2 linked regions of the Lonchura striata genome follow. The main gene of each other region encodes a partner of the protein of the gene in region 2 in a complex. Links are inferred from orthologs where the notes say so. Each region holds a gene or a part of one and is shown on either strand. Other genes may lie near its edges. The genes, in order: EDA and EDAR.

Evidence for each region.
Region 1: the proteins of EDAR (region 2) and EDA are in contact, whole or in part, in a crystal structure (PDB 7X9G), measured with the Homo sapiens proteins. The link is inferred for Lonchura striata from reciprocal best matches to the Homo sapiens genes EDAR and EDA. Residues at the interface, in NP_071731.1 of Homo sapiens: Glu55, Pro56, Tyr57, Leu58, Lys78, Ile86, Arg88, Arg89, His90, Asp92, Glu94, Gly95, Phe97, Val134; in NP_001390.1 of Homo sapiens: Gln256, Ser258, Ala259, Gln261, Asp265, Asp273, Arg289, Tyr310, Tyr311, Lys340, Thr341, Tyr343, Ser370.

The regions. Positions count from the first base shown.
Region 1 is NC_134616.1:5,474,612-5,478,518, forward strand, and holds the start of EDA (ectodysplasin-A), read right to left. Parts: upstream 2,271-3,907; coding exon 1,992-2,270; intron 1-1,991. UniProt on the Homo sapiens protein: Cytokine which is involved in epithelial-mesenchymal signaling during morphogenesis of ectodermal organs. Functions as a ligand activating the DEATH-domain containing receptors EDAR and EDA2R. May also play a role in cell adhesion.
Region 2 is NC_134604.1:90,405,038-90,408,944, forward strand, and holds the start of EDAR (tumor necrosis factor receptor superfamily member EDAR), read right to left. Parts: upstream 2,890-3,907; 5' UTR 2,878-2,889; coding exon 2,827-2,877; intron 2,122-2,826; coding exon 1,999-2,121; intron 914-1,998; coding exon 732-913; intron 1-731. UniProt on the Homo sapiens protein: Receptor for EDA isoform A1, but not for EDA isoform A2. Mediates the activation of NF-kappa-B and JNK. May promote caspase-independent cell death.

The sequences.
Region 1 (3,907 bases), on a different chromosome or scaffold from region 2:
GTGTCTTTTGGGTTTAAATTTGTACAACCACAACACACACAGCACTCGGCCTCTTCACTGAGGACACCTCAGCAGCTGAAGGACATTTGAGGGCTCACAGCTCTGTGGTCATTGGTCCCCCGCAAATGAACTCTGACCATGGTCCTCAGGAGAGAAATGTCATTGATCACATCACTTGAATTAATTATTTAGTAATTTCAGCCCAATTTATGCAAGCATCACATGTATGGGATCGCACTGAGTTTATCAGCAGCACAGCTTAGAAGGGCTGCTGGGAACCCCACACGTACCCCAAAGCTGGACAATAACTTTCTAAATAAAGCTGATTGCAAACCCCTGATTTCACTGTTTTAATCACTGAAGAGATGAACTCACAGCACCCCAGGACACCCAAAGTGCTTGTTTTTAGCTGCAAGGCAGAAAAATCAGTGAGAAAGGGTGAGCAGCACCACTACAAACCCCATTAATCATGCGCTGTCACAGCAGCGGAGCAGCTCGGGATGCTCAGCCTTCCTTCCCCGTGTCCCCACTACCAGCAACCTTTCCCTCCAGCCCAACTGCTTCAATGTGCCCCAAAGAATATTTCATCTCAAGCCTGACAGGCCAGATGTAGAATAAAGAAATAAATAATTAGCGTTACCTTATCTGGAGTCCGTCAGCTGCAGCGAGCGACGCTCGGAGCTCCGTCCGCATCCAGAGACAAATTATCTAACGCTGTAATTTATGAATGCCTCAAGTATTTGCCCTGGTATTTCACTATACACTCGCTGGAAAGAAGAGCTCGAAAGACTAAACAGATCCAGCACGATAACACGAAAGGCACTCCAGCCGCGCGCTATTCCAAGGCAACCCAGGAATCCCAGCACGACATCAAACCGCTCCGGCTCGCTCTGTGTTGACACCGCTCGAGGAGCAGCGAGGGCAGAGCGATGACCCGGGAGCTCGGCTTCCCTCCGGTTCAACGCTGGACTTGGATTTGTCACGGGAAGCTGCGGGATCCAGGCAGCGAAGGAAGCGCAAGCCCGGCTTTCCCGGGGGCAGCCGAGGCCGGCGCGGCGGAACGGCTCCCGCTGCCAAGTGAGAGGAAGAGTTCCAAACTCGCCGCTTTATCAAAGCTATTTTTGTCCTTCCCCCCACACACTGATAACCGGCCGGGCGAGGACCGCCGGGGTGCCGAGGCAGGGCTTGGCATCTCCCCCGAAACCCCGCTGAGACTCCGCGGCAAAGCCACCCGGCACCTTGGGGGAGCGGGCCATCCGCTCGGGAGGCTCGGAGGGGAGGAAACTCCTTCCTCCAGCTTATCCTGCTCGCAGCGAAGTTTCGTGCCTGGAAAAAATGAGCTAAGTTTGCGAGAGGAGGCCCCAGCTCCGCTCCGGCTCTCCCAGAGGCTCTCGGGACAGGCGACCCCCGCAAGGGCTGGGGACACCGGCGGGGACAACCGGGAGGCTGCTGCCCACCTGTGCCGCAGAGGCTGAGCGGCTGCTGCGGGGGGACACCGAGGCATCGCCCAAAAGATGAAGCACCTGGGCTGGGGGAGAAGCGCAGTCTGAGCGCGGGAGGAGCGAGGGGAGCGAGCGGAGGCCGTGCGGGACCGGGACCCGGCGCGTCCGGCGGCTGCGGGGCCGAGCCGTGCGGGGCTCCCCGGCAGCAGCGCCCCGGGGCACCCCGCAAGCGCCGGGGCAGAGCCGCTGCCCCCGGCCAAGGCTGCGCTGTCGGGACTCACGGCGGGTCCGTCGCGACAAGGAGACGGCGAGCAGCAGGTGGAACACGGGCGGCCCCGCAGCCCGTCACCCCCAGCCCAGACGAGCTCCCCCCGCGCCTCACCCCCGCACCGCGAGCTCGGGGCTTTTCCCCACTTCTCCCAGCAAACTCCCCCGAGGGGCCGCTCCGAAGCGCCCCGGGCCGCGGCTCCCGAGCGCGGGGATGGAGCCGGGGGGCGGCCCCGAGCGGCGCGGAGCCCCCGCGGTGCCCCCGCCGCCGGCCGGACCCACCTGCTGGCGCCGCTCCGCGCCCTCGGCCGCGCGCTGCGGGCGGCCCCCGGCCGGGGCTCCGGGCGCCGCCGCCGTCCCGTCCCGGCGCGGCGGGGCCGCGGGCTGCGGGCCGCGGTCGCGGCGGAGCTCGGAGCGCAGCTCCAGGTAACAGCCCAGCGTCAGGACGTGCAGCGCCAGCGACAGCGCGAAGAAGCCGAGGAAGAGCCGCCAGCTGCCGCCGCCGCCGCCGCAGGCGCAGCCGCGGGGAGCCGGCGCCGCCGCCCTGCGCTCCGCGCCCATGGTGCGCTCGGGCGGAGCGGCGCGGAGCGGCCCCAGCGCTGCTGCTCCCGGGGCGCGCCGGGCACCGCGGGCTGCGCGGCCGGGCCGCCAGCGCCCCGCCAGGGGGCGGGGCCGGCCCGGGGGCGGGGCCGGCGGGGCCGGGCGGGGCCGGCGGGGCTCGGTGGGGACGGGCGGGGCCGGGCGGGGCTCGGCGGGGCCGGGCGGGGCTCGGTGCGGCAGCGCCGCCTCAGCGTCCGGCCGGGGGCGGGGCCTGGGCGGGGAGGGGGCGGGGCCTGGGCAGCGACGGCAGCGCGGTGGGCGGAGTTATGCAAATTAGAGGGCGGAGTCACATCGGCTGGAGCCGCGCCCCGCTGCGAGCCCGATCCTGATCCCGGTCCCGATCCCGGTCCCAGTCCCGATCCCGGCCCTTTATCCCTGTCCCTGTCCTGTTACGGACAGGCGCGGTGATGACTGGGCCCGTGGCCAGCGCGGTTCAGGAGGGCCCTGTCCCGGTCCCGGCCGACATTCCCATCCCGATCCCAATCCCGGTATGGATGGACCCTATACCGGTCCCGCTATGGATGGACCCGATCCCGGTCCCGGTCCGTCCCGGCAGTCGCTGTCTCCGCAGCCAGCGGAGGATTCCTGAGAGCGGGCACCAAACGCCGCCGATTCCCGGGCAGGGGCAGCGTTGTCGCCGCTCTGCCCGGGGACACGGCCGAGCCCGGGGTGCCCAGGGGTGTGTGAGCATTTTGGGGCAGCTGTCGCTGCCCTCTCCAGCTTTTTAAAGGTTGGTTGTCACTGCTGGAGACTAATGGAAGCTGGAAAACAACCTGGGAAAGGGTGAACCAGGGAGAGGAGCGGATTTGGAGAGGGAAGGGTGGTATCGAATCACACCTGGTTTGGTTTGGAAGAACCTTAAAGCTCATCAAAAGGAGCTGGCAAAGCCTGTGCTGGTTCTATTTCCAATCAGGGGGTTTAATTGATAACGAGAGGGATAATGAGATGATGAAGGTGCTGTGTGATGCTCACAGGCTGCCAGGAAATTTGAATTGAGGAATTAGAGATGTTCTGAACATACTTGAGAGGTGGAATGAAGAGGATAGGATGTGATTTGGAACAGTAAAAGAGGAGTTAAATGCGAGGTGTTAATGGCCGCAGAGGAGGTGGCACTGCAGAGGAGGATTCCAGCTGGTTTTGGAGGATCACAGATGCAGAGGGGTCAGCAGTGCAGGGAGATGTCAGAGCCAACCCCAGACCTCCAGGAAGGGCCAGCACCAAGGATTGTCACCGGCTCGCCCCTGCCATGGGTCCTGCTGAACCCCCTGGGTGGGCTCCCAGAGCTGGGTGGTCCCGTGCCAGGTCTGTGCTCCCAGACCTGGGGGCAGGGTGAGTTTCCCATGAGGTTGTCCCTTCCGTGAGAAACCCTTCCAAGGCCTGGAACACATCGTCTGAGAATTTGTGGGGTCTTCATGCCACAGATCACAGCCATGAAGAATCCCATGGTGGCCTTGTCCTGCCTTTGGGGAGGAGGATGACCTTTTCCAGCCCTTCCTGGCCTTGTTTTCCTGCAGTAAGGTTTTTTTTCCTATAAGTCCTGTGTCACAGACATGAAATTCCATGAGAGTCTCTGTTTTCATTTAAGAAAGAAATGTTTC
Region 2 (3,907 bases):
TTAATAAACAGCACCTATTTTAAGCCCCTTCAGCCAGACCTGAAACTTGTTTTTACTCTGAACAACACTACATTAACAGCTCCTCAGACTCCATTATGTTGTGTAGAAAGGACCCCAGAGACTAAAATGCCTTGGTAAATCTCACTGAACAGCTATGTTGGCTAATACTGTCAACTACTGACAAATATGCCAGCTGTTCATATCTGGAGAAGTGATATTTTATGCCCCTAAACATGCTGTAGTGCCAGCATAAACCATACAGGGTATTTAAGGTGCTGTCATGCAGCTCATATGCAGGAGGCAGGACTCAGAAGGTGACCCTCTGAAGCTACAGCTGGAGGTCAAGATGGATTTCTTTGAGTGTTTAAAATGGCACTGCATAGCTGAGCTTGTTCGCTTTCCATTTCTAGTAAGAAGAAAAAGTTATCTAGTTGTTCCAAACAGTGAGATTTCAGTAAGATTAAAAACATCTTCTTTAGGGTCCCTTCCAGGCCTAACTATTTTACGATTCTGTGTTTATTAAACTCACCAATGCTTTTGAAATATTTAAATGTATTGTTTTAGTAGAGATGAAAAACCATAATTTACCAGTATTGTACCTACAGTCAACTTTGACATGGAAAGGCTGTCAGAGATTTTGACATCTGAAAAGTACCTCCCAGTAGACGGAGTATCCCATACCTCCTCTACCTCTCCTTGGGTAGAGCAGAGGTCCGTGGATAAGTCCTTACCCTGGGAGACAAGGACCACACTCCGCATCATTCTCCTGATCCCCAGGTGTCATGACTGTGGCTCGGAAAAAGCCCTCGCAGTCCTTGTGCCGTCTGCATATCTGGTAACCTCCTTTGGAAAACTTCTCAGAAGGGCAGGGGACGCAGCCATAGTCCTCATCTTTGGTGCCATATCCACATGTCTGCAACAACACAGAGTCACTCAAAAGCAGTCTTGTGCTGCACACCAACTTCTAGCAAAAGAGAATGTTCACAGCCTGCCCCATTGGCCTTGCAGCACAAAGGGAAAGGAGTCTGTCCTTTGGCCTGTTAGTGTCTATCCTAAAAAGACCATGCAGGGATATGAGGATGCAGCACTCTGTGTGCTGGAAAGGGAGAAGGGGAACTGGAGAATCACACTGTTTGTGAGTGGCCCCCCCATACTACTTCTACCATAATCCAGCAAACTGTGGAAGTGAATTTCAGATGCTGCTTGGATAGAAAGTGAACTGAAAATGGAAGAATAGCGATGACTCCTACAGGAGAAACACAGCTGCAGCAGGGCTATCAGCAGTTTCAGGTTAGGAAACCCCAGAGGGAACCCAAAAGGCAATGTTTGAATAAGATTTTGTAACCTCTGAAATCACATGTCCCAGCTGAACATTGCATTTAGATTAAATAAAACTAAACCAAACTGGTTATTCAAACATACTTGTTTGGGACTACCAACTGTGTGAAATGCTTGCAATAGGATGTTTATCCCATTAAAACCAAACAAGATTTCAGTAATTTTTTTTTTCTAATAAGCAATAATTACCTACTGTAAATCAAATGGTTACTTGGGAACCATAATTTAAAATATTGCGGAAACATCCAAACATCCAAGTTCCTCTAGTGCCAGAATATCTTAGCAGGAGAGCAAAAGTAACTTGTCAGTGTGAGGGCAAGCAAGCCAGACTGACCAATTTATCACTCTGTGTTGGAATGTCAGCATCAGATTCTAAATAGCTACTGAGATGAGAACAGACTCAGAGACTGTGTATGGAACTTTAACCTTTCCATTTTTACAGTATCTTTTTTAACAGGCTGCTCCTGGGATATGGGTTGCTGGCGTGCATGCAAGGTGCCTCACTCCCATGGCACACTTGGAGGTGTGAGTGCTCCTGCTTAGGCATCCTCAGCTTTCCTATTTCCTTTCCTACCTATTACTTCCACACAACAAAGCATTTGGGTTTTTTGCATTTAGTGCTTGATTTGTTCCCCCAGCAGCAGAAGAAGCTGGCATTACCATGTAAGGCTCTTCACCCGGCTCACACTTGGGGCAGTCGTGGCACATGCCAGTGGTCTGGTTGTAGTACTCGTTCTCACCGCAGTTGGAGTATTCGGCACTGGCAGAGTACACCAGGGAGACCTGTCACCAGAGAGCATTCCAGAGCACTGTCACTTCCACTGCCATCGTCCTCCATGCCTTACCCCCTCCCCTTGCACATTTGCTGCTGTTCAGCAGGGCCAGCACTGCAGAGTGAAACACCTAAAGCTCAGAAGCAGAAGTGGTGACACTATTTAAATGGAAACAGATGCAGGTTTCAGCAACCTGGTATTTCCAAGAGTTTCTCAGAGACTGACATTCATGCTTGTTTGGCACTGCCACTCCTTAAAACACTGAAGGTCACAGTTCCTGACCTTGTAACTCACATGCTCTCCCACACAAGCAAATGCCCGAGTTCACACCCTCATGACTCCCAGCTCTAAATGAGCCTTCATAAATGTGACTGCAAGGGACAACTATAACAACCAGAGATAATGCACTGCCTCAGGCCTCAACCACAATAGGGCTGTGCTTCATGTCACAGCCACGCTAATGTGCTCTTCTAGCACTTTCTGTCTCTGCTCCATCCTAGGTCTTTCTCCTTCTCCTCCTTCCTAGCAGCCACGGTTTAAACTGCACATTCTCAGGCGTTTTATGGAATGAAAATTATCTACATTGAGGTTCAGTCCCTAGGTCATGTGTGGGTCTGCTACCATTCACGGGTGGTTATGAATAACCCAAGCAGAACCCTGTTATCTTTGCACACTATAGAGACATGTGCACACAGAAATACACAGAAATACCTACCATCAGGAAAGGGAACACGTGAGTCCATTTACGTTCACCCAGGTGAGCCATGCTCTCTTGATATTTTACCTGAAAAGATAGAATTGGTGTTTGTTTATGAACATGAGTAAATATTTGTGTGTGTTGCCAAAATAAGAACAGAAGGGCTCATAAGCAGAACAAAGGTTACATGGGAGCAATGCCCAGAGGTCTAAACAAAGAGAGGGGGAGATGTGCACGTGCAGTTGTGCACACACAGGCACCACACCCCCTTTCTGCACATCTCTTTCCTCTCTTTGAGAAGACAATGGCAGGAGGGGATCCACTCTTGCCATATTTACAAAAATCTGTAAAAGATGAGGAACCATCTTGGCTTGCTGAGACATCTTCCCATGAGGGAATGGAGGGCTGCATATTGACCACTAAATGAAGGAGGTAGTCTTGATCACTGAAATGAAGTAGCCCAGCTTGTGTCCACACCAATTAGTGCTTGACCACATTCCATCAGGTTTGTCTGGGAAAGAACTGTATGGAGCAGCCAAAGCAGAGCTGGGGAGTGACCCAATGGCAAGCAGTGTGGGCAGTCAGAACATCAGCAGGGCTACACTTTCCTTGCCAGCTCCTGTGGATGCACTGAGAAAGCCCAGAGCTGCTCTCCTTTCTTTAGCAAGCATCGGCTGTTTTTTGTTCTTGATACGCAAACTGCAGATCTGAGATGTTAAACCCAAGGAAGGAGCCAAACCTTATATTCAAAAAGCTATTGAAACAGTTGGGAAAAAGAAAGGCTGAAATCTATGTTACAAACACATATGCTAACTTATTTAGTTTCTTAAAATGATTAATTTTTAATAAGAGCTAATGTTCAATGTTCAATTACTGGATTTCTTTCTAAGGTGAAAAAAGAGACAGGAAAAGGAGGCTCAAATTGGTTTTTTTTTTAGCATGATACAACCTATTTAATTATATTGTTGCAGCACATAACACGCCCTGAGGGTTTTAGAGCTCCAAATTGCAAGTGCTTGAGATACAGTTGCAACATTTTGCTCCTACCAGATGTAAAATATTCTTTCAATTTTCCATGTCTCAGACACTGGGAAACTTT